Linked DNA regions of Astyanax mexicanus. The protein of the gene in region 4 purifies or fractionates together with the protein of the main gene of each other region. This does not show direct contact. Links are inferred from orthologs where the notes say so. Each region holds a gene or a part of one and is shown on either strand. Other genes may lie near its edges.

The links.
Region 1: the proteins of cdc27 (region 4) and mad2l1 purify together in Homo sapiens (affinity purification with western blotting; 29 studies listed by BioGRID and IntAct, with this or other methods). This does not show direct contact. The link is inferred for Astyanax mexicanus from reciprocal best matches to the Homo sapiens genes CDC27 and MAD2L1.
Region 2: the proteins of cdc27 (region 4) and anapc13 purify together in Homo sapiens (affinity purification with mass spectrometry; 5 studies listed by BioGRID and IntAct, counting the BioPlex papers as one, with this or other methods). This does not show direct contact. The link is inferred for Astyanax mexicanus from reciprocal best matches to the Homo sapiens genes CDC27 and ANAPC13.
Region 3: the proteins of cdc27 (region 4) and B-cadherin purify together in Homo sapiens (affinity purification with western blotting; 4 studies listed by BioGRID and IntAct, with this or other methods). This does not show direct contact. The link is inferred for Astyanax mexicanus from reciprocal best matches to the Homo sapiens genes CDC27 and CDH1.

What each region holds. Positions count from the first base shown.
Region 1 is NC_064415.1:32,657,600-32,665,523, forward strand, and holds the start of mad2l1 (mitotic spindle assembly checkpoint protein MAD2A), read right to left. Parts: upstream 3,863-7,924; 5' UTR 3,768-3,862; coding exon 3,704-3,767; intron 3,037-3,703; coding exon 2,890-3,036; intron 1,627-2,889; coding exon 1,506-1,626; intron 1,392-1,505; coding exon 1,288-1,391; intron 299-1,287; coding exon 126-298; 3' UTR 1-125. UniProt on the Homo sapiens protein: Component of the spindle-assembly checkpoint that prevents the onset of anaphase until all chromosomes are properly aligned at the metaphase plate.
Region 2 is NC_064424.1:8,786,911-8,795,597, reverse strand, and holds anapc13 (anaphase-promoting complex subunit 13), read right to left. Parts: upstream 3,560-8,687; 5' UTR 3,461-3,559; intron 3,386-3,460; 5' UTR 3,377-3,385; coding exon 3,278-3,376; intron 1,576-3,277; coding exon 1,450-1,575; 3' UTR 1,068-1,449; downstream 1-1,067. Other genes in the region: sc5d (lathosterol oxidase), read left to right, coding at 5,879-6,088, 7,130-7,262, 7,854-7,954. UniProt on the Homo sapiens protein: Component of the anaphase promoting complex/cyclosome (APC/C), a cell cycle-regulated E3 ubiquitin ligase that controls progression through mitosis and the G1 phase of the cell cycle.
Region 3 is NC_064430.1:28,568,931-28,576,993, reverse strand, and holds the start of B-cadherin, read right to left. Parts: upstream 3,732-8,063; 5' UTR 3,613-3,731; intron 1,072-3,612; 5' UTR 795-1,071; coding exon 744-794; intron 498-743; coding exon 383-497; intron 1-382.
Region 4 is NC_064410.1:15,204,870-15,213,390, forward strand, and holds the start of cdc27 (cell division cycle protein 27 homolog), read right to left. Parts: upstream 3,468-8,521; 5' UTR 3,312-3,467; coding exon 3,285-3,311; intron 1,091-3,284; coding exon 1,015-1,090; intron 1-1,014. UniProt on the Homo sapiens protein: Component of the anaphase promoting complex/cyclosome (APC/C), a cell cycle-regulated E3 ubiquitin ligase that controls progression through mitosis and the G1 phase of the cell cycle.

The DNA.
Region 1 (7,924 bases), on a different chromosome or scaffold from region 4:
GTAGGGTATTTATTTTCCATTTTCTGGGGGTACAGAAATATAAAACCTCAGCAAATGGGGGGATTTGAGAACATAGAAACATCACAAATATGTACAAAAACAGACAAAGTGAGAAAGGAATATGGTTACATAGAGTTTGTTCTTTTGTAGGCCACCATACTGTTGACTTTGTGGATCGATGTAGTGAAAGACCGGAGCCGCACTTCCTCAGATTGGTCGATAAGTTGAGGCCCAGATTCCTCCCATTGCTCTGGAACCTCCAGATCTTTGTCTGTGTAGATCAGGAGGTCAAAGGCACCTGTATCAGTTCAAAATAGAATGTTTAGTGATGCTCGCTATACACTTTATTAGGAATACTTCTACACCTACTTATACAGTACATAAACAACATGGTGTTGATCACTGTTGTAACAATGAAGAGCATTCACAAAACCACCAGCCTCTGCTAGATGATGACACAAAAAACTTCTGTGCTAGTGTTCACAGAGGGGAGCTCAAAAAGGTATCTGTGCAACACTAATAGCACACTAAACTACCTTGCTAAAAATAAAACTATACTACATGGATGCAGTAAGCTGCCATGATAATATAAAGCTTGACAATTAAAGCAGAGCTAATTTTTAAAAATATAATGAAGAAAAAAACGGTTATTTTAATAAATTACTAGAACTGCAAAATTAATTACCCCACATTTTTTACCCCAATCAAAATCTCATACTAAAAATAACCCAGAAGGAATGCAACGATTCACAAAAATCATATTTGGACAATATTTAGCATCAAACAAAGAGTCTTTCTATAGCACTATTTTCATATTAACATGCACTTACATATTATCCTTACTTAGTATTACAGTAAAGTTACTGACTTTACTCTAATACCTATCTATAAACCCAATAATCTATATCTATAAACCCATGTAGTAGTAATACAGATCTCTCTCACAAACCTGTATTTATGTTTAAATTTTGGTTTGAGAGCTAGTTGTCACTACACTTTACCAAAACTAAAAAAAAAAAAAAAAAATATATATATATATATATATATATATATATATATATATATATATATATATATATATATATATATATATATATATATATATATATATATATACACATACATACATACATACATATATACATATACATACACACATTTGCCATCCTATGTAACATGGAACATTTGCATACTTTCAACCACCATGTTTCATAGTACAAGTTAAATATAATAGAAACAAAGAACGTAATTCATGACACATAGTTAATGAGAAGGTAGAATACTTACATGCAGTTTCCAGTAAAGGCAAGAAGGTGACAGTGGCTGTGATTTGTCTGATGACAGAACGGATTTCTTCCTGGATGGCTTTTATAGACTTTTCTCTGGGAGCACTAAAATACGCAACACACCACAGATCAGATTAACAACTGCACAAACTTTCACCTGCAGATACTTCAAATAATATAAGGACAAATCTACTGACATTTCCTCAAATATAATAATACCTGCTATCCTTTGCAGTCTTGTCGCATTCAATGTCAAACTGCCATCTCTCCAGGACTTCATTTGTCTCAAGGCATGTGATCACCACCACCAGCTTCTGAACTGTGCAATCAAACAGCCACTCTGTGGAAAACAGGTCAGTCGTTTATTGATAAAAAGCAAAGATCAAACAATATTATAATATGAGTGTATTTTATTTACAATTATATATATATATATATATATATATATATATATATATATATATATATATATATATATATATATATATATATATATATATATATATATATACACACACACACACACAGTACAATTAGCAGTGAAACAGTTGTCATGCCACATAAAAAGATGATAATGGACTAAAAACTACAATGTATCTATACAAAGAAGAAAAGAAAAAAAGAAAAAGATATCTGGGCTGGGAGTTTAATCAAATTAATTTGATTAATGAAATTACTGTTCTAATGCAATTTTCAAAATGGGATAGGTATTTAATTGTTGAAAGTAAATGTGAAAGCAATAATTCATTGTGCACTTTAAATAGTGCTGTTTGTTTATAAACTGAAGTTATTGTGAAATTGTTATTGAGAATCACATACCTTTGAAAAATTCAGATTTTTATTAGATAGATAGATAGAGAGATAGATAGAGATAGATAGATACAAAGATTATTACTTGTATCTAGGGTTATATGGAAGACATTCCATGTGGCACGGTGATACAGATATTATGGATTTACTATATTATGTGGTTGCATTTTAAAGTGCATATAATTAAAAAGTTACTTCATTTCAGTATTTTAGCTAAAAATGTGAAACTCATTATATACATGTATTACACACAGAGTGATATTTTTTAAGAGTTTATTCTTAGTGTTAATAATTAAAAAATTAAAAATCAGTATCCCAGAAACTTAGAATATTAAATAAAGACCAATTGATGCTTTTGGCAGTGTAAGAAGTGTGCCAAGTCCAGCTGGAGTGCTGTATGGTTTTCGGGAAAACACTGAAATGATTTCGGACTTGATAAAACAGTGGAGCAACACCAGCAGACTCTCCAAACCACCCAAACCAGTGAAGAGGCACACAGTCCAAGCTGCTTGAGGTCTAGTGTGAAGTTTTCACAATCAGGGATGGTTTGGAGAGACATGTCATTTGCTGGTGTTGGTCCACTGTGATAAATCAGGTTCAGGTGTTTTTTCAGGAAAATCGTACAGCACTACATGCTTTCCAATGCTAACAACTTTTATGGAGATGTAGATTTTTATTTTCCACCTTTATTATTATGAGTATTACATTTTGAACTGAATTACTCAAATAAAGTAACATTTCAATAATGTTCTATTTTTTAATGCAGTAGTAGTAGTGTGAACAGTGAGTCTACCTTTGAGCTGTGTCACAACGTTGGTAAGGTAGGTCTTTAGCTTGGGGTCTGTAGTGAGCTGAAGACTCATATCATACTGTGTGACTCTGGAGAAAGTCTCTGCAGGATAAATTCCTCTCTGGTACAGGATACTGTTGATCCCAAACGCTGTATAAAAAAACACACAGTGAACAAATATATACTTTAAATCAGTCAGACTTAAGTAATTTAGTAACTTTTTAAATGATCATTACTTTGTCTAAAGCAGTATGTGGTGTTAGCTGTGGTTGTACAGCAGGCCATGCAGAGGAGGATCAGCCATTTATTTATAAATAATGACGAAACTGGGGCTTTTCGACACATGACCACAAGTGTAATGTAATCTAGTTAGCTAGTTAGCTAACAGACAACTGTACGGGGAACCTTGTCATAAAACTATACAACTAACTAGCTATGTTAACTCGCGACTGCTGTCGTGCTAAAACACTGACAACCGAACCCACGTTAACGTTAAAAGGTTTGCACAATTAAACACGCCCTCCGCCAGTTTAGACTCCGTTAAAAACACGTTTCACCACGACAAAAAAGAGGCTTCTCAGTGTTTTACCGACCAACTAAATGTAGGTTAACTAGTGTCCAGCGGAATTACTGTATATAAATTAAACGGAGTCGTGGTGGAGCTATTTTAACGCTAGTTAATGTTAGCTAAACTAAGCTAAGCTAACTGTTAGCTAACCTTGTCTATCTAACGTTACACACGCAGCCAGTTTACAGTTTAAAGACGGTTCATCCCCGGTTCTCTCAAACAAACGGACACAATAACGGCTCGACTTACAGAAAAACTCCGCCACGAGCTCGGCGCTGCCTTTCAGCGTGATTCCCTGCAGTGTTTTGGACATGGCTCTGCCGCGATTGTTTCTCTCAGCAGCGCTGCTCTCTGTGTTTCACCCGCCGCTCAGTTTGAATTCAGAGCGCGTTTGAACTGGCGCGCATGCGCACCATCAAAACACACAGCGCAACGCTGATGACGCCATTACGCACAGCGTCAGCGCTGAAGAGCCGCTCTGTTGATCCATAACGTCTTATCACTTCAATTTTCTGACTGTTTCATAGAAAATAGAGCATAGAAACATAGAAAATTAAGTATAAAACTTAATTAATTATTTATTTATTTATTTATTTATTTATTGTATTTACTTTGGTGAAGAAGAATTTTTTGTTGTTTTTTTTTTCCAATCTTTTCCAATCATGTCTGCCTTTTTTAGATTCTAGATTCTTTTTCTTTTTTAGATTTTTCCATTTTTGTATCTTGAAATCTGATGGTTTATAATGCAACTCTGTTACAAAAGGGAAAAAAAAAAGAGAAATATATACATTTTTTTCATTTTCCCTGAAATTTTAATTGGTAGGTGCAGAAATTAAAAAATAGAAAATTGGAAAAATTGATTTAAACCCAATTCTTCTGTACTACACCAAATTGTAAGAATAAAAAAAATGAGTTTTACCCTCAATTGTCTATTTTCGAATTTAGCATTAAATTGTCAGACAATTAAACTAATAAACGTTACACTGACCATTTCAGACCTAAATTATCTCCAGTGAAGAAAAGATATTTAAGAATGCGGTTTTCTATCTGTAATGCACAGAAAAAAGACTATAATATTCTACTATAAAATGTAGTTATATAGCAAATAAATCCTATTAACTATTTTTTTTTCCATTGCATTGGAAGTCTGTGTGTAATGTTTTAGATATATTTTTTATTTACCTTTTTATTTCATAAACCTTACTCAAACAGCAAAATAAAAATTTAAATGTTCTAAATCACATTAAATTAGTAAACTGTTACTAATCAATGGCTACTACTAGTACTACTGTTTTTCCAGTTCAGTGGGCGGGGCTAAGCTACTGTTTCATTGGTTTATAAACTTGTTAATTGGCTGGTTCATTCATGGTCTATTCTAATGAACAACAGCTCCATTGTAAATAGATGCAGGGTCTGAAAGGGTTAATTGATGGCATTTTTTAGTTAAACTTTTTCGTTTCTAGGAGAGTTTTTTGTAGTAATTTTGTATTTAGTGTTAAATAAAATTGTTTCATATATTTCTACATTGTAATTATATACTATGTAGTACATACATTTTTATTTGTAACTATTTGATTTTAATTGAGTGTCATAACCAATAACATTACAATAATACAGTAATAATTTAATAATGTATTGTTATTATTGTAACAAATATCCTATTTAAATAAACATGTATAGTACCAATCAAAAGTTTAATTTAGTTCATGTTTTTCTTTATTTTTCTTTACTGTTTTTCTCTATTTCTTTATTTAATTTATTTTCTACATTGTAGATAGTTATCCAGAAAAAAAAATACCCTGTGCTGGTAGTCTAGCAGTGGTAATTTTGACAGGTGATTTGGATTTAGTCTTAGTTTTTTTGACTAAAATGTATACACTGTGCACAAGCCTTGTCATATAATGCTCATTGTTATCTTGCACCCCATTAAGGGGTCTATTTTCACACCTTCCATCTGCGTCATTTAAATAGAGATGTAGGTTACGATTATATCACACCTGGCTCTTTGAGGGCAACACACGACAGACACACGCAGATACCAAAAGCACAGTTTATTTAAAAAGTGCTAAGCTTACGGGAATGGACAGGGACAGGCAAGGTCAATAACAAAAGGGCAGCAGAGACAAGCAACATACCAGAGTATGTATGCAAGGAGGTCATACACAGTATATTCAATAATGAGTAGAAGGGCAAAAGGGTAGTCATAATACAAAAATAGGTCTGCAATGAGAAGACTAACAAAACAAAGGGATAGGAAACAGTGGTCAAAAGTACAGGGGCTATATATACAGGGGAAATCACATGAGGCGTCACGTGGTCAGGAACATCCGGGAGGTTAGAGGCAGGTGTATCCTGGGAAATGGAGTTTTTTTGTGAGAGCAGTACAGTCCGTGGCAGGCAGACAGATTTGTTCATTGCACTTTATGCCCAAACATACCTATGATTAAGGGAGTTAATATAAGCCTTTTGCCATCGTTATAATAGTGAAAACATACTCACACTCCCTAAATCAATCTGCACTGAAAAAGGGCCCTTTGTGTTGATCTTTCCTGCTCTACTTCATGTATTATTTTATTTTTCATATTAATTCTGATGTCTATATTTTATTTACAAACATATTATGTAACAGAGCAGCAAGCAAAATAAAGGATGGTACTTATCTCGGGATTGCTGCTACATTTATTCTTAACTCCCTAATGGAAACCTCCACCAGGGAGGACTTAAGTGCAGACAGAGTTACAACAGGGACAAAATAAATTCAAAATAACTTGACAAAACAGAAGAAAAGATTAGTGTAATGACTGGGGTTGGAGTTGGCTTTCACAATGCTTGCGAGTGGAAGTTTAGGCCGACAAGCTGATAGTAGGCAGGGACTGTGCTTCCACAGCAGCAGTCACTCACTCATCACTCATTTTATTGTTACTGAATCCTGAATTTTGCTATCCATGTCTCATCAAGAACACATTTTAATCAAGCTGTCAGCATGAACTCATTTTGGAGGAAATGTAAACTGATGCAGATGAGTGAGATTAAAACTAATTATGCACTAAATCACAAATGTTTTTTTTTCTGATTCCAATCACTGTACAATTTCTTATGCAGGTCTGTTCCCATACGACAGACTTTGTACAGTCTGCATGGAATTATTCAGATTTCCCCTTTCCATACAGAATTCCATAAAGTGTGCATCATCACCATGCAATGAAGGCTCACCTGCCAAGGTTGATGTCAGGCATAAAGTTTCCCTGGTACATTTTTCCATGATTTATTTAATTATGTCGTGTTTGTCATGCAAACCTGTGAAGTTGCCACAAAATGCAAGTGGAGAAGTCTTTCAGTGTGGGGATCTGAAAAGAGTGAGTTTTTGGCCTATAAGTAGCCAAGAGTGCAATTACTGCATAGAGAAAGTATGTGAGATCCAGCAGCAGCAGCAGGAGGGAATCACTGAGGAAAGAAATTCAGGGGGATTTCTCCAGCGCTCTGCTGGCCTACTGTAAGTCAGCAGCATCTGTCTGGCTATCTGTCTGTCTGTCTGTCTGTCTGTCTGGCGTGCTGTCTGTCTGTCTCTCTGTCTTGAAGTTTTGATATGATTATGGCCATGCAGTACATAATATTCATTCTGCTCTAATAAAAAAGTTAGGCCTACTACAAATAGTAAAGGAGATAAATTAGTAGTGGAAGACATTGCCCTTAAATAATATCACAATATTATATTTTTTATTTTTCTAATAAAAATATTATTGAAAAATGCTTTAATACTTACAAGTATATTACTTTTCAAATATTTCAATTATATTCTACAGCAAAATATTTTTTAAATGTTTATTGTGAAACAAAAAAAATCGACCACAAAACTAAAGAGCAAAATATGCAGTGCATAAAAATAAAATAAATGCAAATAAAATATAAAATGCAAACTAACTGCAGTGCATGTACATAAACTGCAAAAATTAAAATAATATTCAAATAAAAGACAAAAAGAAAACTAAACTAAAAAACAATAAATGTAGTGCTTGCAAATAAACGGCATTAACTAAAATTAAAACATAAAGAACAAACTTAACTCAAAAAGCAATATGTGTAGTGCATGCATATAAACTGCATAAGATTAAAATAATATACAAATTAAAATACAAAAGAAGCTGAGATAGTGGTGGACGATATTGACCTAAAATAATGTCACAATATTTAATGGTATTTTTCTGATAATGATATTCTTTTAAACTGTTTTTTTTTTTTCATTTTAAGACTATGTCACTGTAAAATATTGTTTGAAAATTGATACAAACATGCAGTAGAAACCAAAAAAATCTATAAACTTGCTGGAGTGACATGACGTGCATATGGATGAATTTTGCATGAACCAATAGGGTGTCAGAATGGTATATGTTTATTCTTCTCATCCAACCACAATCAGATTTGCTTTATCTGAATGGAGAGATTCATCTGAGAGTTTTTTTTTTTTTGAGC
Region 2 (8,687 bases), on a different chromosome or scaffold from region 4:
ATTATTGCAATTATACCAGTTAAATTATCGCTGTTTACTAAAAGATTTTGAGTTAAAGAGGATGAGAAAATACGATCTGTTTGGTTATAAACACTCCGCAAATTAAAATAGTTTCATTGCTGCTCTGTTTGTAGCTGCGCTGTTTGGCTTGTAAGCACTGCATCGTTGCTAGGTTACCTGCACGTGGCGGAGTAATACATTGAGAGTTACGTTTACAGTGCATTACCGGCTGATAATGGCACTCATAGAGCACCTCTCAGCCAATCACATTGCAGGGTCAGAAATAACTATGGTATAATTAACAAAAATCATAAAATTAGTGCTTTCCTTAACACTATAAAATTAATAAAATTAAAATTCCTGAAAACAAATTAAACAGTTAATGTCCTCCAAACCTTTATTTTTTTATAATTGTCTAGTTTTTAATAATTATTAAGAAATATTAAGTGCAGTAGAGAAACGGCAGTTTCACATAGTATCCTGTTGGAACCTCCAGGGCCCTCAAAATTTTCAGAATGCAAATAACGTATTTTACTGCAGAGAAAGAGTTTTTATCATCTACACTTGTAGTTTGTATACAGGCCAAGGACTGTTTTTTGCAGAAAACTTTGCACAGGCTTACGGAGTGTACGATACCTTAAAAAAATATATTAATCTCCAGATTTATTGTTATTTATAAATTGAATTTTTGGGTCAATATAATTAGGCTATTTTAGAAAGTCTGTAAAAAAGTTTTACAAGGCAATGTCAATTAAATAAAACATAATGTTGAATAAGTGACTGCTTACATATGCAGCACCATAAAGTAGGTACATATTTATGGAATCACTTTTAATCAATTTTACATTACATTAACATTTGTAAATTCAAAAATACCAATTATATTGACAATGATAAACTAAATTCTAGAGGAAGCAGCTAGAGGTTTTTTAGCAGTTTTTGTGTAAATTATTTTGTTCTGATAAAATCAACTACAGAAGTACAGTATATCTTCTTCATAACTTGTTCTAAAGAGATGTACACCCATTTTTAGATTTTTTTTTATTTCTAATTGCATCAACTTCACACTTATTTCATAATTTTATTTAAGTTTATTTTCTTCTAACAATTTCTCACATCTCCACAGGTGTGTCCGACAGAAACACAATGAAGAGGCTCCAGAAAGAAGCTTTACATGGTTTTTAGATACAAAACATTTACTCTTCATTCACATATCACAAAATATAATTGAACGTTAAAGCACTTCTTTGATTCTGGGCTATTTAAGCCACCAGGCATTATTTAACAAGTGTAGTCTCCAGATCTGTGAGTAAAGTCCTTCACCCATGAGTGAAACAGGTCATTTACTCCAAAGACCTAACATAGAGGCAGTGACCATACACACAATAACTTGCATGCATATTTTTCACCACCACCATCATCATCATCATCATCATCATTACGATTACGCTATGTTCCTGTATTTGGAGTATTTTCATGTAAACTTTGAAGAGCCAGATCAGACCACTTCATTTCTTGCTCTTTAACTGACTCTGTTGATCCACCGTTATCCTGCTCTGCTTCTGGAAGTTCACTCTAAAAGAGAAAGAAAACAAAACATTAATATCACAGCCTATGAGCCTTTTTAGGTCAGTTTCACACACAGAGATTACATTTACATTTCAGGCATTTAGCAGACACCCTTATCCAGAGTGACTTACAAAAGTGCTTTGTTGTTTTCTTTGAAAATATTCTGTAATTTGTACAATCTAGTCAGAAAATACTTCCAACTATGGCTGGTTTATATATATATATATACACATACACATACACATACACACAGTATAGCCAGCACCCTTGCTGTACATAATCATGTGCTGATAGAGCTGGGTAATATGTTAAATGTTATATTACAATATTTAAAGAATTTTTTACAACACAGTATTTACCATATTTTGACAAGCAGAGATAATTCATTAGCATTAATGAATCTGCTATTCAAATGCTCTTTCTTATGTAAATTTTACTGCATATTATTCAATTTAACAGGATTTGTGACATTCTGTAATGAAATGTACAGAGACATGTACACTCATGATCTTAATATATTTAAACAAAAAAAAAGGATATACTGCCATCTGAAATTGTGCTGGACTGTATAATGGTTCATCCGGATTAGCGGATTCGTTTTAATTCCTCTTCTGGTATGTCGCTAGAGGTTCAACGGAGCGCTGCGTAAAACAGCACAACCGAAAAAAGTATACTGGTACAGCTCGCTAAATACTGCAAGCCAGTTAGCATAACAAACTAAAACACAGGAGTGAGGGGAGTCAAATGCTCGTCTCGCTCTGTCCTGTCTGGAGAGAAATAGGAACAGCACTTTATCTAAGGAGCTCCTGCTGCTGTTCCTCACTGTATGAGTGTTTTTATCCAAGTAATATAGAAAAACGGTTAGCAATTATTTACTCAGAAAAATAGAGGAATTTAATTTTGCAATCGATTCCCAGCTCAGACGAGCCTAGAATCAGTCCTGGGGTAAAGAATCAATCATTCATTCAGCACAAGTGATAACTTCCTTAAATACTGGTGCAAAACTCTTAAAGATCAGTAACTATAGACCTTTTAAATATATTAAACTTGTGTCTAACTTGTGCACAAGAACATTTGAGAAATATCTCTACGAATACTTACATTTTGAGTATTTTAGGTCTATTTATAGTGTCTATGGAACTATTTAAAATATTTAGTTTTTTAATGGGAGCAGGGTTAAAGTTGTTGGCATATATATTTTTATGGTCTATTGTTTACTTTCTTCAGCTGTTTTTTTGCTAATGAAGTCTGAATTTTTTATATATTGTGTAATGTTTTGGTACAGAGTAAACTCAATAGTAATCAAAGCCTTAATGTTTTGTATTTTATTGCTATACTCCTAACAGTACAATCCAAACTTATATTAACTGTTATGTTTATTTGTCAGGAACAGCAATGGTGTTATTAAAAATTATAAAATAAAATTACTGTGATATACATTTTTGGTCATAGTGCGCAGCACTAATTATAATAGATATTTTGTGCACAATTTTATTTTTTTAAAGATAATTTAAAGCTTGTTTTCCCATCATGAGCATAAAAAATGTAAAAGAACCAAAAAATACATGTATGTAATGTTCTCTGCTATCAGGGGGGGTAACTAAGCTAATATTACAGTAAAATACAACACTTAAGTCCTCTAATCAGTTCTGCACTCAGTACAGCAGCCTCGTGTGTGTGTTTATTATGGATTATTATATAGGGGTACCAGAGGGATGGTCACGTCCTCGTAGGGCAGCCGGTCTTCTCTCCAGGCATCATCGGTCAGATCCAGCACCCTGCCGTCCCTCTGTACCTCACTGTCCATCTCCAGACCCTGCGCACACACAGCCCTGATCTATAGATACTAAATACATATCAATAATAACTGATACACACCAGCTTTACTCACCACTGCGCTCAGTCCCTCTACTGTCCCTTACTGATGACGACAGAGAGCGAAAAAACATATGCGAAAAAAGTGCAGACCTGCTCCACCTGCTGGCTCTACTCTTACATCACTTCCATTATATATACTAGTGTCTATTGCATCTCAAAAAATAAAATAGAATATCATTGAAAAGTTACCTTATTTCAGTAATTCAGTTCCAAATGTGAAACTCATATATTATATAGATGTATTACACACAGAGTGATCTATTTGAGGCATTTATTTATTTTATTGTTGATGATTATGACTTACAGCCAAAGAACTGCAACTGGTATTTTTGGCTGCAGTGTGGGCAGTGTGCCAAGTCCTGCTGGAAAATGAAATCCGTGCTGTAAGATTTTTCGGGAAAACACTGCACTGACTTTGAACTTGATACAACACAGTGGATCAACACCAGCAGATGAAGATAATTTGTTTCTTTTTATGATTTTTATATTGTAAATTTAATATTAAAGAATATATTTAAACTGTACAGGACCACATGCATAATTATTCTGTAAACATAAAATGTTAAACAATCTAGAATATGTTTTATATCTTAGATTCTTCCAAGCAGTACATTTTGCTTTGAGGACAGATCTGCACACTCTTGGTATTTTAATCTCAGTGTCCTCATAGATTTCATAGAATTATAGCATAAGCACTATAAGCGTATAATATATATATTCAAATGAAAATAAACTACAATTCCCATGACCACCTGCTGGCGCCACTAATGCAGTTGTGCGGTGGTGACGTCTTCAGAGCGACAGATTCTGTAGTCCTTTTAGAGGAACGCTCCTTAAAAAAGGTATTTCTGCTTCTTACAGGCAGTTAGAAAATAATCTGAAATATGGGCAAGATATTAAACATTAAATTAAGTGTTTATATATTGTAAATGTAATTATGACTAATAAATACACTCTCAACTATTAAACTACACGTGAATCGTACCAGTGTAATGCAAACAGCAGAGGGCGATCTGTCTCCCTTTCTGCCTATTATACTCACATTCACTGATTACAATTGGTAAATATAAATATTTCTATTTGTCTAAATAGCTGGTTGCTTATAAAACAAAAGTAGCGTATATATTAAAAAATAAAAACACACATTTTTAAATGCAAAATGTATAAAAAACAAGAATATAAGCAGATTAAAAAAAATGACCATATTACAACATATAGATAAATAAACTGAAAACTAAAAAACTAAACTATAAAAGTCACACAATGTAAAATGCACAGAAGTGGTGAAAATAGTCAAAATAATTGCAGGTCAGTTTGTTGGTTTATCTCTCTGAAAGATGGATGGCCATCAAACCAAGCTGAACTGCTTGGATTTTTGCACCAGGAGTAAAGGCATAAAGTTATCCAAAAGCAGTGTGTAAGACTGGTGGAGGAGAACATGCCACGCTGCATGAAAACTGTGATTAAAAACCAGGGTTATTCCACGAAATATTGATTTCTGAACTCTTAAAACTTTATGAATATGAACTTGTTTTCTTTGCATTATTTGAGGTCTGAAAGCTCTGCATCTTTTTTGTTATTTCAGCCATTTCTCATTTTCTGCAAATAAATGCTCTATATAACAATATTTGGAATTTAGGACAAATATTGTCTGTAGTTTATAGAATAAAACAACAATGTTCATTTTACTCAAACATAAACCCATAAATAACAAAATCAGAGAAACTGTTTCAGAAACTGAAGTGCTCTATTAATATTTTCCAGAGCTGTATATTGGAATTTCCTTTCCTAACCTTCTCTTTAAGTCTCTTTAAGCATCAATTATATAAAAAAATATATTAAAATAGCTTTAAGCAGGTAGCACCTACGCAAACTCTGCTCCTTTAAACATTGCTCCTGAATCTATAACCCCATGAGCAGATCGCGCTTTTGGCCAATCAAATTCGAGGATTCCTGCTTGCGTGATGACGAAACGGCCTCCTATTGGTCGCAGCAGGGTTGTGTGAGTGCGTCAGGTGGGGGGTGTTGTGCTGGTTTGTGTGCTGGAAGCAGAAGCGGGCGTGCAGGAGCTGGAGTACTGCAGCACCTCCCCAGGTAAGACACGGAGGTAAAGTCTCTTCTGTACAGTTAAAAACAGCGTGTTTACAGCTTTTACAAACACACGGTGCATTATGGACATTATTATATATACTGTGTTTCTTACTGTGCTTATAAACTGTGTTTATAATGTGTTTCTCAGCTGTTTATAACCTTTGTTTTGTCTATACAGAGATAAGAGGATATACAAACTTCTAAATTAAATTCGAATAGTTATATATTAATAACATTTTAAGATTGAATCCACAGATATTTATGTATTTATAGGTCAATATCACTGAATTGTGATGCTTTTTGTTTAAATAAACCTCTTTCTCACCCCACAGTGCCAACCATGGACCTTGTACTGAACTTTGCAGACTATTACTTCTTTACTCCCTATGTCTATCCCTCCTCCTGGCCTGAAGATGAGGCTCTGCGGCAGATCATTGGACTGCTGGTGGTCACCAACCTGGGTGCTGCGATTTTATACCTCGGCCTGGGAGCTTTAAGCTACTTTTTCATATTTGACCACAGTTTAATGAAGCACCCTCAGTTTCTGGAGGTCAGTACTGTAACTCCTTCCCTTTACATATGAAAATAGCTTTCAAATAAATATGGACTGTGTATTATTAATATGAGAGGAATATATGATTCAATACTCTTTTTACAAACCTACCTGACTTACCTAATACTTAAATTATAGTATTTAATTATATATATATATATACAGCTTTCTTTGATTTGACCAAATTGAAAAACCTTTGGAATATAATCGAGGAGGAAGATGGATGACCAAACAAGCTGAACTGCTTGAATTTTTGCACCAGGAGTAAAGGCATAAAGTTATCCAAAAGCAGTGTGTAAGACTGGTGGAGGAGAACATGATGCCAAGATGCATGAAAACTGTGATTTAAAAACAGGGATATTCCACCAAATATTGATTTCTGAACTCTTAAAACTTTATTATGAATATGAACCCTTTTTTGCATTATTTGAGGTCTGAAAGCTCTGTATCTTTTTGTTATTTCAATCATTTCTCATTTTCAGCAAATAAATGCTCTTAATGACTATATTTTTTTGAAATTTGGGAGAAATGTTGTTTGTACTTTATAGAATAAAACAACAATGTTAATTTTACTCTACTGGCTATGGCTTTCTTCAAAACAAATTAACAATTAGTTGATAATTAAATTTCAATAGTTGATTATGTTCATTAATACTGGCAGCCCTATTTGTCTGGAGGCCAAATACTGAATTTTTAACATGCTCTATTGCATGTTTTCATTGATTAAATCACATTTTCACCCACATATTTCCTAAATTAAATAGCTTAATGCATTTTGACTTGATAAAAAATATATATATATATATATATTTTTCATGTACAAATTATATTTATAGGCTTTTTTTCAGCTGAATAATCTTGTTTTTCAAATATTTAGTACTTCCTCAATATCTTAACATAGAACAAAACATAGACAGAGCAAATTTCCCAAGTTGCACTTTTGATTTTACATTCCCATTTCTGTTCAGTCGAGGCTCAATATCTGCACACATTTCCACACCCAGGTTAGAATGTCATCATTTGCTTCTTACTCCACAGAACCAGGTGAGGCGTGAAATAAAATACGCTATGACTTCTTTGCCGGTGATCAGCATTCCCACCGTCGCACTGTTCTTCGCTGAAGTTCGAGGCTACAGCAAGCTCTACGACAACGTCAGTGACTCTCCATTAGGTAAGTGACTCAGCATACAGTATGAGGTATTATTCATATAGTTCTGTTCCACAGTTACAGTTTTGGAAAAAAATAAGAGAACACTTCAGTTTCTGAATCAGTTTCTCTGATTTTGCTATTTATAGATATATGTTTGAATAAAATGAACATTATTCTTTTATTCTATAAACTATGGACAACATTTCTCCCAAATTTCAAATCAAAATATAGTCCTTTAGAGCATTTATTTGCAGAAAATGAGAAATGGCTGAAATAACAAAAAATATGTAAGATGCAGAGTTTTCAGACCTCAAATAATGCCAAAAAGAAAACAAGTTCAACACTTTGGTAAAATCAAAAAAATGTATTGTTTTTAAATGGTCTCTTTTTTTTGTCCAGAGCTGTATGTCTATATTATAATAATAAATATTTAAGCAATATTTTTTTTTTTTACTTATGTACTTTAGTCTGTCATACTTGCTTTAGCTTTCACATTTATTGCCACATAAAAAAGATTAGTATTTTTATGTGTTTTCTCTGTTTATTTACTCTTTTTCAGTTTAGTTAATCTAATTCTGAGCTTTTCTTCTTTCTCTTTTTTATCGTTTTCAGGTTGGCCAGGGCTGATTTTCAGCATGTTCTCATTTCTCTTTTTTACTGATATGTGCATCTACTGGATTCACAGGTTCCTTCATCACAAACTCATCTACAAGGTACCTGCCACGTTTACACTATTCTAAAACACACACACAGATTATCTAGTCAGTTTTGAAGAGGTATTGCCAATAGAATAGGTCTGTCTGCTGCAGATAAACATGAACCTATTGGCACCGTGCCCTAATGCCAGGTGCGGGATAAAGGGGTATAAAGCCCACCAGCATTGAGTTGTGGTTATCCACCCTGACACATTAACACTTTTGTTGCTAAATGCAATTAAATCCTTAAAGCAATGCTTAAAACCATAGAAAAGCACCTTCCCTGTACAGTAGGGACAGTTACTCCAACAAAAGCAGGGCAGATAATACCCTTATAGCTTATGCCTGGCACTAGGCATAGTGTCAAAGGGTTCATGTTCTTCTGCTCCAGAGAGTCCTATTCTATTGGCATATATTCTCAAATACAGGGACTGGAGAAACTGCATGTGCATTTTCACATTTGTGTCAGCAATGGGTGCAACATAAAGTGGCTGAATGCAATTATTAGACATTTGGACCTGCAGTGCACCAGGAGTGGCATATTTATCCAAAAGCAGTGTGTAAGACTGGTGGAAGAGAACATGCCAAGATGCATGAAAACTGTGATTATTCCACCAAATATTGATTTCTGAACTCGTCAAAACTTATTGCTAAATAGTTTTGAATAATTTTACTGTAATAATCAGAAAATTCTATGTACAATTCAGGGGTTGTATCCTAGGGTTTTCTTGTTTTGGCCTATTTTTTAAAC
Region 3 (8,063 bases), on a different chromosome or scaffold from region 4:
ATAATATCATGGTCTTAGTTATTTTACAAAACAGATAAACATTTATAGATTTTAGTTTGTTGTGTTGCAGTAGTATTCTCTTAACAATCATTAAAAAACGTTTGTCAGAACCTCGTTAATATCGCAAAAGTACCCTGAAATATCGTGATACTATTTTAGGGCCATATAACGCAGTCTTAATTTTACCAGCATATTTTCCATATAGTCAGAAGACTAAACTTTAAAGTGCAAAAGTATTCATGTTAGTGGTCTTTACCAAAGTTTAAACCAGTTTACAGACAAAAATTCACATTAACAAGTATAAATACTCATCGCAAGAGTCATTTTCCAATTTTTAACATCACATTTCTTAAAAAGTAAGGTTATAAAACCAGTGTCTTACCTCTGCCCAGCCTCCTGCCTCTGTGAAGGTGAGGTCTGTGCACTTTGAAAATGAACACCGCTGAATCAAATCCGTTTGAACATGGCGTCTGATCAGCAAAGCTGGTGGAGAGCACCTGTAATAAAAAGGACGAGAAAAAACACATTCAGCTTCTTTTAACTGTTTTATTTACTGAAATAAACGGATTTTAGTCCAATAAACCCAAAGAAATAGCAATAAAACCGTGTGTAGCTGATGTTTTACTTGGTTTAAATTCATTTAAAGCCAAACTACTAACTCTTAGTTAGCTAAGCTACATGTTTGACCATATTTGTAAGAAAAACAGCTGTTTAAAATCTTCCCCAATTAAAGCAGAACTTACCTGCAGTAGAACGAGAAGAACCCCCAGCCGTACACTCCTTAAAGTCTCCATGTAACAGAAAATAAACCGAATAATCCTCGGAAATCCCCTCTCTCTGCTCTCCTCAGAGCTGGAACTCTTCCCCAGGCTAAATGGAGGAACTGCGAGGCAGCAGGTAACTAGCACAGTTTCTGCACGTGACGCAACCAGGTGACCTCGCCCATCCGCCTCGCGCTGACCAAGTATGGGCACAGGTTCTCTAGGCTCCTCCCCCAAAACTCCAGGTAAGACCTTCTCCGAGTATCTCCCAGCTCCTTCTGCTCCACCACCTGCTGAAGACTGATCTAACCTGCAGAAACGAGACGAAATGTATATTACTACTGTATATAAATACTTTACTACTGTTCTTAAGTACTAAAATACTGTATTTGTGTCTACAGGAGTATAAGTTTTACTTCACTACTGTACTTAAGTATTAAAATACTGCATCTGTATCTCATAGAATGTTACTTTTACTTCTACTCCTACTTTTACTATCTAATGGAGTATTGTTTTTACTTAAGGACTGTACTTAAGTACTAAAATACTGTATCTGTATCTACTGGAGTATTACTTTTACTTCAGTACTGTACTTAATTATTAAAATACTGCATCTTTATCTCATGAAGTATTACTTTTACTTCTACTCCTACTTTTGCTATCTACTGGAGTATTGTTTTTACTTAAGGACTGTACTTAAGTATTAAAATACTGCATTTGTATCTCATGGAGTGTTACTTTTACTTCTACTCCTACTTTTGCTATCTACTGGAGTATTGTTTTTACTTAAGTAATGTACTTAAGTACTAAAATATAGTATCTGTATCTATTGGAGGATTATTTTTACTTCACTACTGTACTTAAGTATTAAAATACTGCATCTGTATCTCATGGAGTGTTACTTTTACTTTTTCTATTGTTTTTTACTTAACTACTGTACTTAAGTACTTAAATGCTATATCTGTTTCTACTAGAGTATTACTTTTTGCTTTACTACTGTACTTTAGTACTAAAACGTAGTATCTACTGGAGTATTGTTTTTACTTCACTACTGTACTTAAGTACTAAAATGCTGTATCAGTATCTACTTGAGTATTATTTGTATTTCACTACTGTACTAAAGTACTAAAATACTGTATCTGTATCTACTGGAGTATTATTTTTACTTCACTACTGTACTTAAGTACTAAAATGCTGTATCTGTATCTACTTGAGTATTATTTGTATTTCACTACTGTACTAAAGTACTAAAATACTGTATCTGTATCTACTGGAGTATTATTTTTACTTCACTACTGTACTTAAGTACTAAAATGCTGTATCAGTATCTACTTGAGTATTATTTGTATTTCACTACTGTACTAAAGTACTAAAATACTGTATCTGTATCTACTGGAGTATTATTTTTACTTTACTACTGTACTTAAGTACTAACATGCTGTATCTGTATCTACTAGAGTATTATTTTGACATCACTACTGTACATAAGTACTAAAATGTTGTATCTGTATCTACTAGAGTATTGTTTTTACTTAACTACTAAGTACTAAAATACTGTATATGTACTCATATTGGAGTATTATGTTTACTACACTACTGTACTTAAGTACTAAACTACTGTATATGTATCTACTGGAGTGTTTCTTTTTACTTTACTACATATTTTGGATGAGTTTAATACTTTTACTCTGATATTTTTTTATGTGCTGAATTGTTATTTGTTACAATTATAAAAATGTTAGAAATCATTCTGAGCCCACATAATCTTTCTTTTCACTGCTTCTGTAACAACTACATAACAAAATATTGTACTTTTTTAGTACTTCAGTACTACATTTACTTACTTGATACTTAAGTACAAAAATGTAAAATACTTTATTACTTTTATGCTTAAGGTTGGAGCTTAAAAAACCCTTCAACTTCTTGATTGAGCACTTGTACTTTTACTTAAGTCTGAAATACATGTCTGGAAGTGAGGTAAGTGAAGTTTACCTATTTATTAGTGGTCAATTAATAAAACAAAAATCAGATTAATCCCAGCATTTTGTAATTAATCACAAGGTTTATCTTTTAAAGATTAAGCTTTTAATAGTGCATATTTAAATAAAATTAGAACATTAGAACATTATTCTGTTATTTAATCATAAATAAAATCACAATACATTTTTTATGTATTTATTTCTCTGCAGTTTTGTAGTGGGACAAACATAATAATGGAGTAGGATTTAGACCTGGCAAACACACTAGAGTAGAGCTACAACTACTCTACTGCAACAACTAATCAATTAAATCAGTTGGAAACTAATTTAATAATTGATTAGTTAATTCTACAGTAAGTTGCAAGCATTAGCATTTTCCCTTCCACTTTAAATATGGCAGCTCCAGCAGCAGATCCAAATCAAGCTGTAGTTTACAACGTTACAAAAAGTTCTATTTTTTCCCTCACTTTTTATCAGTTTTATTAGAGCTTATTTGAGTGTTCAAATAAGACATCTCACATGCATTAAAAAAAATAATCATAATAATTTGACACACAGCAGAATGATGGCAAGTTTGTTTGTTTATCTTTAGTTTAGTCCTAGTGGAGGTCCAGACAAGAGCTGGGCGATATGGTAAAAATACCTGTATCATGAGATGAATCACAATATTTACAATATTTTTTTTTTTATATTTAAAATGATACTCAAAAAATATAATCAAAATGTTCTATAACTTATCCTAAACATTACTAATTACTCTCTCTGTGATTGAAAGCTAATTAATTTGTTAATTTACACTGAAGATATCCACAATATACTCAAAAAAAGTATATTCTGTATCCCACTAACAGAATATATCTCAAAATGCCCACCTCAGTTCAGTTTTGTCTGTGCTGGATCATCCTATCTTCTCCTTGAGAATACCATCCTCATCCTCATGAGTCGATCTATAGATGAGCTACAAAATCCAGCAGCAGAAAGTTTGTCTCAATCAGAGGATCAGACTGAATGAAGAACTGAACTGAAACACTCTGTCTATTCTGACTTTGCTCCTCAGGCTCCTCCTCCATTCCCAGGCCAAGCGTCCAGAACCACCACTGACTGTTTGTGTTCTTAGCAGTGGATGCAGCACAAATCCCTCTGATATTGCATGAATATAATGAACAGCAGGGTTTCTCTTAAATAAAAAGAGCAGCTAAAGCCCTGAGCACTGCTTACTTAACGTACTGTTCATATGAGAGGAAATTAATGTAGAAATAATTATTATATTAAATTATATTATATTACTTTTTAAACTAATATGGCCTACCTGCTGTTTAAATGCAAGCAAATAACACCAGATACTATGTAAAGAGGACAAGATACTAAGTGGTGAGCACAAGATACTATGTGGAAATCACCATATGCGGTATAGTGAGGACAAGATAGTCAGTGGTGAGCACTAGATACTTTGCGGAAAACACCAGAGGCTACATAGTGAAGACAAGATACTAAGTAGTGAGCACAAGATACTATGTGGTAAACACCAGATGCGGTATAGTGAAGATGAGATACTAAGTGGTGAGCACTAGATGCTATGTGGTATACACCAGTTGCGATATGAGGACAAGATACTACACTAAGTGGTGAGTACCAGATACGATGTGGTGAGCACCAAATATTATGTGGTACACACCAAATGCTATATGATGAAGACAAGATACTGCACGGTGAGCACCTGATACTATATTGTAAACACCTGATACTATGTGGTAAACACCAGCTATATAGTCAGGACAATATACTAAGTGGTGGGTGAGCACCTGATACTATGTGGTAAACACCAGATGCTTTATAGTAAGGACGAGATACTATGTAGTAAGCACCAGATAACCACCAGTGTAGTAAGCACCAGGTAACCACCAGTTACTTTGTAGTGAGCACCAGATACTATGTGGTAAACACCAGATGCTATGTAGTGAGGACAAGATACTATGTGGTGGGTGAGCACCAGATACTATGGTAAGCACTAGATACTAAATGTTGGACACCAGAAGCTCTCAGATATGTACCATGTACTATGTGGTGAGCCCCACATAAAATGAGGTAAGCCCCAGAGACTAACATGTAAAAACAACTGTTTACTGCCACATACAGTAACATCTGGTGCCCCTTACATAGTATCTGGTGCCCCTCACATAGTATCTGGTGCTCACCACATAGTATCTGCTGCTCACCACATAGTATCTAGTGCTCATTGTACCAAGTCAAGGAGTGATCAGTCTGCTCAGTGTCAGGTGAAATTCAAGTCCTGTCTAGCCTAACTTTGCTCTCAGGGCTCCTCCAGTCTCAGGTGAAGCCCTCAATGATCACAGCTCCTCCAGGAAAATCTCTGACAGACTGATTTAACATCATTCTTGTGATTTGGTTGCGTTTATTTTGTCTAGTATTCGCTTAAACTCGCCGAGATACACCAATACAATCTGACATCTGATGCTTATTACTCAATTCCACCTTAAAAAGTGAAGCAGTTCATTTTAAATAATAAGTTAAATACTTCCACATCACATTAACACTGCCTTATTTAATGTTTTCATTCCACCTTAAACAGTGAAGCAGTTACAGGTGCTTGGGCTAAACTGCTGCACTCTTTAAGGTGGCAGAATAAAGAACTGCATTTTCTTATTTTCCTTCTATGCCAGTTTAAGAACTGCAGCTGTTACATAATTAGTGTTTGTCAGAGGAACTATAACTTAGTTCCGCTGGAATAACTATGACGTTTGTTATAGTTATTCCACCTTAAATTCTACATCTACCTGCTTAAACACAATCATATTCACATGAATCTCCAGCATGAAATGAAACTCTGGTACTTTAAAGCAGTAACTGTGTGAGGAGCAGTCAGTCTAGAGACAGAAGATAGATGTGATTGGGGATTACATTTCTCTTATATCATTTTAACTACATTTTATCAGCTTCAAAACTTTACATTTTGTCAGGAGGGACAGTGTTGTGCCAGTTCACAGCTTTTCTAAACTAGTTCAAGTTCACTTCATGCATGCTCAAAGTGAACAGTTCACGTTGAAAGTTCACAATTTTAATTCTGAACTAGTTCAAAGTTCAGTTCATTTTACTTTTTTTGTGAGATATTCAAATAGATACTTTTTTTCACACTACAAGCTAGAAATCACTATACGTTCTTTGAAACGGCTCATTGTAGACATTTGATCATGACACTGCGATTGTGGGTTTCTTACCAGCTGATGAAAATGTTCATAAGGAGAATCGGTGTCTGTCTCCCTGCATCACTTCCACTAGACATTTTTTTTTAAATTGCAGAACCAGGTGCATCATTTACAGTATTTAAAAAGGAGAATTTAAAGATGTGTAGGCCTCCACATGGGATGAAGCTGACTGGAGGAAGCTGAAATAGTCTAGTCCAGGGGTTCTCAACTGGTCTTAGCCCAGGACCAGTCGCGGCCCACTTTTATGGAATAGAACGCAAGCAAACTTATTTTTTAAAAATGGCCTTAAAAATCCATTTTAACATACATATGCAAAGTGAATTTACTAGTATTTCTTTAAGAAACTGAGGAGGAACATGACAACTAAATGTTTGCATTACATTACATTACATTTGGCAGACGCTTTTGTCCAAAGCGACTTACAATAGTCAAGAACAAAATAGAAGTTAAAGGTAAAACATTTTTTAGACAGGGCTTAAAGGAGGTCGAAGGGAAATAAAGGGATAGAGAAGTGAAGGAGGGGAAAAAGGAAATGAGGTTAGAAGTAGTTAGTGTGTTAGAGGTGTTAGGAGAGTAAGTGCTCTTTGAAGAGCTCTGTCTTCAGGAGTTTATTAAAGATAGCGAGAGATTCTCCTGATCTGGTAGTGGAAGGTAGTTTGTTCCATCGTTGGGGAACTCTGTATGAGAACAGTATAATATGTATAAATGTATAAAAGTTACAATAATAAAATTAAAAATCAAAACTGTGCAAAATAAAAGAGGATACACAATAAGATATTTCATTAGTAACTCCCTGCCTCTCTTTTTCCCCCAATATAAAAGACAAGTACAAAAAAGCATTATCATTATAATAATTATTATATATTTTTTATGTTTTTTTTTTTTTTCAAGCTGTCTGCGACCTACTCAGAACAAGTCCGCGACCCACTTTTGGCTCCCGACCCACCAGTTCAGTTGAGAATCGCTGGTCTACTCTATCTTTGCTGATAACTGAACGTGTTACAGGCTGCTGTACACAAGGCTGCTCACAGGATCTCAGCAGTTGGTTGATATTTGCTATAACTGAAAGACACTATTCATGCCTGTGCTCTCCTCCCTCAGCGAGAGAACCCACAGTCTGTTCCCGTGGGACGGCCGGAGAGTGGAGCTGTGAGAGGCTTTATCCTTTCCCAGATTCCAGCGATTGATTTTTGTGCTGCCACTCAGCAATCCGGCTGTGTGTTAATCCTGTTTATTGCATAACAAATGTAACTTATTCTGTATTTGTTATTTAGTGAATGTCTATTATCTTGTCTGTAAATCAGAAACAGGGATGTTTAAAGCCATTGCTTTGACCTTTGCATGTGTTACTAACAATTGATTTTAAGCTTTTTTGACTTTGTAAATATAAATAAGTCTATTTAAGTACAACAAGGGTTGGACAATGAAACTGAAACACCTGGTTTTAGACCACAATCATTTATTGTCCCGACGGACAGTTCTGGTGGAAACAGGAGAGTTGAGGTGCACATTGAATTCTGCCGTGATTTGGGCAGCCATGGTTTTATGTTTTTTTGGATACAACATCCCTTTCAGACAGCTTCCTCTTACAGCGTCCACAGTTAATCCTGTTGGATGTGGTTGGTCCTTCTTGGTGGTATGCTGACATTACCCTGGATACAGTGGCTCTTGATACATCACAAAGACTTGCTGTCTTGGTCACAGATGCTCCAGCATGACGTGCACCAACAACTCTGGTATGTCACCCATAATGTTGTGTGCATTGCAATATTTTGAGCAGAACTGTGCTCTTACCCTGCTAATTGAACCTTCACACTCTGCTCTTACTGGTGCAATGTGTAATTAATGAAGATCGGCCACCAGGCTGCTCCAATTTAGCCATGAAACCTCCCACACTAAAATGAAAGGTGTTTCAGTTTCATTGTCCAACCCCTGTATCTACACAAATAATTTAGTGCAGTCTAGTTACTTGAGAATTTCACATAAAATTATATTATGCACTACTTGGTGTTTCTTTGTAAGTGTTTGTCGTCGAATACATTTGTAAATTTGAGTCTAAATGCCAAAGTACAATTTACAACATTTTACGTCCTTACTGA
Region 4 (8,521 bases):
AAGCAAGTTTTTATAATTAAAGATAACAAATTTGAACACTGGGTGTCGCCATCACATGAACCCAATCTACAACGCTCCTCATCTTTCTTCTTTCCTTCAATATGCATACATTAATGTACCTTTTGGGAGAACATGTACACTACAAAGAAACTGAAAAATAGTCTGTGAATGCAGCAGATTTCAGGCACGATGGGACAATTCAGTTCAAGAAAAGTGTGTATGATTAATTTGTCAGGAATCAGTTGCCGTAATGATGGAGTATAATATTAAGAGATATTATTAAATAAAACATCAATTCGAAAGTCTCCCATTCACCACCAAAGCCACCAGGCTACTCCCAGGTTTGCTCAGGCTTCTGAGAAACACTGAATTGATCAACAAAGAAAGCTAATTTTGAAAAGTAGCTAATTTGCCTAAACATGGAGCTTGTAATCTAGAGTAAATTATGAATTTAATTTTAGATTATATTCCCTTTAGGGTCGCCAAGTGTTCCAGCGGTCTAAAGCGCTGCCACTATGATTGGGAGATTGCTGGTTTGAATCCCGGTCATGTAGCTAGCACACGCCTCCTCAAACACATGTGTAGTCGACCACCGGCAATGCTACATTAGCAGCAGTTAGAAAAGAGGCGATGGATGACTTCACGTGTTGGAGATGTCTGCTAGTCTTCACCCTATTTGTGTTTTGGAATCACTTGTGATGTGGGATATATAGCTGAGTAGTGGAACAATTGGCCAAGCTAAATTAGGAGAAAAACAGGAGAATGTACGTTATAGCTAATTTCAACAATGTTATCGCAATTGAGTCACGCTCTAGGAGATGCTTGATACAAACAAAACTACTCCAATCTTGGCTATACAGATTATATTATATATTTCCATGTTATTTTTTTTTCTTTTTTTAAGCAAAAGATTAACAAGACAGTAACACTGGTGTATGATCTACAGGACATAATGGAAATTAATGTTTAGTACTACTGATTATGTGTCATCATTGAAAAGATTTTGAACCCTACCTTCAGCATAGAGCCTCTCTGCCAGAAATACAGCATCTCTGTAGGCATAGTGGTTTAAAGCGTGCCAGACAGCAGCCTATAGACAAACAACACAGCAGACATAAATATATTACAAAAGGTCAAAGCAAGAGGTTGTGGATTATATGAAACCAAACTGCACGCCAAATCAATGTTAGTTTTACTGAAATCCCAGTGGTGACGGAATGGCATAGTGTCAGCTTAAGACATGGCAAACGTTAGTTTCTAAGTGTCCCAGATCTACTAGACCTAGGTCTCTTAAATTAGAGATAACATTTACAAAGACAGTGGACTAGAACATCAACCTAGCAAGCATTTGCGAACATCTAACCTAGTAAACTATAGGTTTAGAGATAGGGTCTAATAGGGTCAGAGACTATCAGTGCTTTGACATCCACCTTGTTGGTCCAGACTAACCTTTTTACACAAACATTTGGACCAGAGAGTCACTCCAAACCATCACTGACCATCCGTAAATTTTGCATTTCATTTTGAAATCAATGGACAAGAGTCTGGAGGAAGAGTGGAGGAGCACACAGTGCAAGCTGCTTGAGGTCTCGTGTAAAGTTTTCACAGTCAGTGATGGTTTGGAGAGTCACGTCATCTACTGGTGTTGATCCATTAGGTTATATCAATTCCAAAGTCAGTGCAGTGTTTTTCCAGAAAATCTTACAGCTCGCTTCCCTCTGCTGACAACTTTTATGGATATGAGGATTTTATTTTCCAATAGGACTTATCATTAAAATTTTATTTTGGCTGCAAGCCATAATCATCAACAATAAAATAAATAAACGCTTAAAATAGAGCACTTTGAGTAATGCATCTGTGTAATATGAGTTTCACATTGTGAGCTAAATTACTGGAATAAAGTAACTTTTCAATAATAGTCTATTTTTTAGATGCACAAGTATGGTTAAAATATTTACGTAATATTTGCTCTGTTTTAAGGTGCACATAAAAGCCAAACTGGCAGCTGGGGGTATTGATTAACAGGCATAAACAAAATAAACAAGACTGTGACTTGGCAGCAACACAGACTGATTTTTTTTTTTTTAAACAAAGAAATTTGTCGATAAAAAGGTGTCAGGATTTTATATTAAAATGCAGCCCACAATTATTTATTATGTTTATTTATTTGACAGTGGTAAAAAAACAAGCTAAAATGGCACAATATCAGTAAGATGAAGTAGTGCCAGTTGCTAAGTGGCAGCTGGGACCGAGGTATTAAAGAGTTTAATTACATATACCCTGAAAAGAAAATCAAATAAGGGGCTGCCAGAGATAGTGAAGCGCAACGTCTCAGCTGATGTGCAACTAGCTAACTAGAAACACGTAAAAAAATAGCAACGGACTAATAAGTATCTCCAGGTTATGTTAAATGCATGTGCTCATCTAATATGGTGTAGCTGGTTTTAAACCATTCACCTAACATTTAAAATAAACGTTAAGACACATACGCAAGCTGAGCTAATAAACTGAGCAGCTGGAGGACTAACTGGGTAGGTAACAGACATGAAGACAATATGAACTGTTATAGTAGGTAAGCAGCTCTGCGGATAGCCCGGCATTATTAACTATACAGTGGCTCTTGTTTATTTAGGTGACATGACAGCTATACGAGAAAGGAGCATGACAAATCCCAGCAGTAAAGAGTAATTTGTGAGCTAGGTGATTAAACACAGTAACATTACTAGCTAGCTAAATAACAGGCTAGCTCGCCTTGCTAACATGGGATACTCCTAGCTACTAACACTGCACGCAGCGGCCGATCCTGACAACTTGTAAACGGCCAGACGCTCGTCAGTAAACTTCATAACTTAAACACAATCTTTAGCAATAATTATACAGACAGCAGACCCGAGAGCTCTGAGGGGTAACTAGCCAGCTAACCTAAGCTAACGTTAGCTAACCAAGAGGAAAGAACGAACCCGCTAGCATACAGGCTAACTTTAGCCCCGCTTTCCAGCACCAGAGAGACCGAAAACAGCAGGTTTAGCGTTAAAATACTCTGCATTTCAGGTGTTTAAATCACGGTAATATCCCGTCTGTTCCACCCTGTAGGATTCAGGGGTGCGTTTGTTTAGAATCCTGTCAGACAGAGAACAGCCCTGCGGTTTGAGGAGCAGAGCGCCGAACAGGCCGAAGCCAGGAGCTCAAAATCACCCCGAGTAAAGTTGTGAGTTTGGCTTATGGGTGAAACTCTCCCCGCCGCTCCGGGTTACACACAGCGGCCTAAATCTGTGGCTGAATACCTGTACAGGTTCCTGCAACACCGTCATTCCGTCGCTTTGGCCGGCCTCCTGGACTGCCCCTCCGCGCTCCCTCTCCGCTCCGGTCTCTGTATGTTAGCCGGGGAGAAGCTAAATGCTAACAGCGTCAGATTTGAACAGCACTGACCGTTATCGGCCACCGAACACCGCCGATTCAAACTCGCCTGCCACGGAAAGAGCCGAGAACTGCCGGAAAACAACGAGCTCCTATGCATGCCATTAATACACATGTCCAAATGTTTGTGGACACACCTTCTAATGAGTGCCTTCCAGTATTGTAAAGCCCGGATAAGTTGCACTTATGCAATTAAAATAAAATAAATAAGTAACAAAATAGTCTTAATACTTAAATCAAATGTTTTGAGTTAAATGGTTAATAATCTTTTTAGAAGTATATTAGAAGTAAAAGTAACGTTAATGTTTTAATTCCTTAATTGCCAATTAGTCATGTGCCCAAACACTAAACATATTAATTAAGTGAAAATAATGTCAATATATATTTTTTCTTTTGTCTTATATTCTGTATATTGTTTCATGTATTTTATTAACCATATAATGTATAAATTAGTGCAGAAATCGGATGTGGCTGTCAAAATAATAATTTGCCTTTATTTTAAATATCATGGAAAATCATCCAGAATCATGTACAAATAGTTGGGTTTGATTCACACATTTGTGACACTTGTGCTAGAAAATATAAAACAAACACAATGTTGACAAGTTTTGTAAGTAGGGAACAATCGGAGGGGGTAAACATTAAGAAAACAAAAAAGTAAATAGCTCTGTACTATATATTTACACAGCGTGTGAAAGCCGATGGCAGCCCATTGAATTTCTAATATCATACTGCACACTGGCATGTATTCCATCTATCAATCAATCAATCAACATTTTTTTCCACTCTGTCATACATTAAGGCTAACCCTCATTTTTAATGCAGCCAAGCATTTACAAATTTAAAGGGACTGAAAAATAAGTTTAAATTATAAAACAAGAAAACAATGTAAGTTTCAATTAAGAAGAAATAAAATAAACTCAGAATAAAGGATATGCAGAGAGGCTAAAGAGATACATAAAAAATATAATAAAATAATATAAACACAATTAAAGAAATAGAGGACTAAACGAACACCACAATTATTATTAATTAAAGGTTAAAAAAAATAATAGACAAAATAAATTAAATAATAATAAATAATATTTTTTTGTGCGTATGTATTGTGTTTTTGTCATTTGGCGACACTTAGAGGCGATGCACTGAAATTACAACTATTAAGACATCCTTTATGCACACATTGTATTAAGCATTATTTGGGTAAAATAAAATAAATTAAATCAGACAATTTCATTCACTTACTGAAATAATCGTTTAACGTGTTTCCACTTAGCCTAGATTATATAAACATGCATAAAATGTTGCGCTGGAGTTGTTGGAGATGGCAGCGTTGGCATTATTGGAAAATATTGCTAATGGCCGAATTCATTGAGAGCGCATTTTTCGTGACCATTTCTGACTTATAAACCGTTTCAGATTTCCAAGAGCATAAGAGGATAAGAAAACAAGCTGAGTGCGTGATGGGTGGCTTCTTGGTGAGCAACTCATTTAAATGAAAGCATTTATTATCCATCCTAGAATGATACATTTAAAACATGGGTAATTATTAGTTATTACGCTACGCGTCTTGCGACACTTGCGTACGTGGGATTCTGCCTACGCACGGTTTGATAAATGATTTATCAAACCGTGCGTAGGCAGAATTCCACGTACTTTCTCTTAGTACATCACAATCAACTTGAAATCAAGCGCAAATGCACGAAAGCAGCACACTTGCCACGACTCCTCCCTCAATTACGCAGAGTATAATGTTATATTATTATTATTATTATTATTATTATTATTATTATTATTATTATTATTAATAATAATATTATTATTAATAATAATAATAATAATAATAATATTATATACGCATAGCGTATAATTACCCATGTTTTAAGTTTTATTATTCTAAGATAAATGCTTTCATTTAAATGCTTTAAATGAGTTGCCTACCAAAAAGACACACGTCACGTACTCAGCTTGTTTTCTTATGCTCTTGGAAATCTAAAACTGCTTATAAGCCAGTCATCATCATGGGCCAAAAAAACATAATGATCACGGAAAATGCGCGCTCAATGAATTCGGCCATTAGCAGTATTTTCCAGTAATGCCAACGCTGCATCTCCAACAACTCCAGCGCAAACCTGATCTAGGCTAAGTGGAAACACGTTAAACGATTATTTCTGTAAGACAATGAAACTGTCTGATTAATTTACTTTATTTTACCCAATAATGCTTACTTCAATGTGTGCATAAAGGATATCTTAATAGTTGTAATTTCAATGCATCGCCTCTAAGTGTCGCCAAATGACAAAAACACAATACATACGCACAAAAAAAAGGCGTACGCCCAAAACAAAACTTCCGTGGGGGAACGCACTTTCACACGTTCAAGTCAAATTTAGTACATCAGACCGTGAGCGTGAAATATGGCGTACGCAATGTTTTTGTGCGTACGCACCTTTAGTACATGAGGCCCCTGATCTCTAATACATTTATAATACATCACGTGATATTAAATGTGCGTGCACAACATCTCACGCTTGCTGTGATTTATAAAGAAATACTTGCCGTGAAAACGAGCGTACATTTCAGCAAGGTTTAAGGCGTCCGTATTCCTTTAGAAGATTGCAAAGAGAGCGGGAATTAGTGACATCATGTGGTAAGTAAATAGCAAGTAAATGCGCAAACTACCCTCATGCATACTAAGTTCATACCGCATAAATCAAGACTAAGAACGAAAGATTAAGCAGGATTAACCCATATTTGTTTAAATATATTTTTGTCTGCATGTATAATGTTTCAATGTTTGCTGTATCTTATTCTGCTTTATATGAAGTATTATTTTTTGCACTAACTTGTGTATTTCACGCTGTAATGTATTTCAATTTTATTTGTATTATCTGTTTTGTTTTATCTCACAATTTTAAAATTCAAAGGAGATGTATCTAAAGTATCAGTATTCAAATGTATTATTACTATTATAATTATTATTATCACAATTTTATTATTATTATAACAAATTATAATCCATAATAAAGAAAGAGAAAAATGTTTTGGGTTGCAGTTGCAGATAATTACGAGCATAAACAGCTGTACCTAATTGCAAAAAAAATAACAGCTCTACAAATAGATTTTTTTGTGAATGATGATTGCTGATTAAAGAGCCGATTTAGGTTTCAAGGAGCCATTCTCGAGGAACTGTGTGCTAAGTTGGGCACAGATTTATAGAGACCAATGGATCATGGAATAAATGTACATTTACAGGTTTTTTTTACAACTATTGGAAAATATGTGCAGGTGAAGCAGCATTTTTGTATCTGAACACTTTCTTCTAACCTCTCTAATAGTTTGGCTTGTTGAGCTACATTATTAACTGCTGCAGCTACATGTTGGCTAAAAGCATCAATTAACACATTCTTCCCCACCTCGACCTCCGACACAAGGACTTCTACTTTACAGTCTCCAAAATCTTGCTATTGTCCCACTCAGTATGAATGGGAAATCCCACTTTAAATATTCATTGAAGGATTTGCATGGACCTTTTATTGGTAAATGTGGGCGGTATAGAGGCAGAACATGAGACTGGGTCACCTGCGCACATTTATAATTTACAAAGAGGAAACAGCGCTCAGGTATACATACACATGCCATTTCCTGTTTTTTGTGCATGCGCACACATTCTCTTCAAAATTTACACAGAGTTTTATAAGTGAGGCCTTAGCACTATGGTTCAAATGAGATTAAAATGTCTGTAAAAATTTATATATGGGTCAATGATGTATAAGGATTTTCAACATGCCAATTTTAAAATTCTAACAATAAGTATATCTGTAATATCTGTTGCAATTGTTCCAAAATTTTAAATGTTGTGAACACCAACTCATATTAAAATTTTAGATTGAGTGATTTTAGTGTATTTTCATTTAGAATTGGCCTTGGCCTTACAAAATGTCATGTGGTGCGACTGTGATTTATGTTAAAATTAATACATTTCCTTAATATACTTTATTTTTATTTTACAAATTCCCACTAATATAAAGTGTCTATAAATAAAGTATTTGCATTATTATCACAATTATTGGCTTTAATGTAGTTAATAGGGTAATTTTTCCAGTAAATCCTATAAAACTGTTAAAATGTGTTCTAAAACACCATTAACTTCAGCATACTGCCATACAATATTTCAGCAACAGAAAAATTATACTTTATATTAAATTTAATACAGTACTGTTATTATAGGTTTCACCACACGATGAGTGGTTGCTCCAAATAACAATACATTTAACAAAATAAATAAATACAAAAATAGAATTCCAAACAAAACCAGAATTGTTTTCTATTTTTTTCCCCAATTTTTCCCTAATTTATATGACCAATTACCCAACTCACTTATTCAGACTTCCCCTATTACTAGTGGTGCCCCAACACCAGGAGGATGAAGACTAGCACACGCCTCCTCCGATACATGTGAAGTCAGACTCCGCCTCTTTTTGAGCTGCTGCTGATGCAGCATGATTTAAACCAGATTCAATTAAAGTATCAAAGATTTGTCATGAACACCAATGTTTCATAAAGTTTTTTTTTGTTTTTGATTAACAAAAATCTCATCACAATGTAATATATGTAAAACAAAAGTGTTATGATGTGTTGTAAGTGCAGCAAACATTATGGCAAACCAAAAAAAAAACAGGTTTGAGGGTGCATTGTGTCAGTACCTAAACTATGTTGGAGAAAGCTTTCTAAAAATTACTAGATGTTCTCAATTGTTACAATTGTTTTTTGCTTGTTTCTGGTTGCACTATAACCATTAAGGGACAATTTAAGTAAAAACAAAATAAATAAAAACTTGTTTTTAACCATTTCTTTATCATCTGTAGTTTAATAAAACATTTTTGGGGCCATATTGCCCAGCTATATACCTCCCTATAACTTATTTGTGCAGCATCTGAAGACAAAACCTGGTTTTTAAATTTTAAGGTGCCTCTAACAGTTGTTAATTTGCCTGGAATCATTACATCATATTTCTGAATATTTTGGCCAGCATCTCACCTCAAGTCTAATTGCTGCAGGATTAGAATAAACACGCTGCCTATGGTGAGCGGTTTTTACTTTGCTT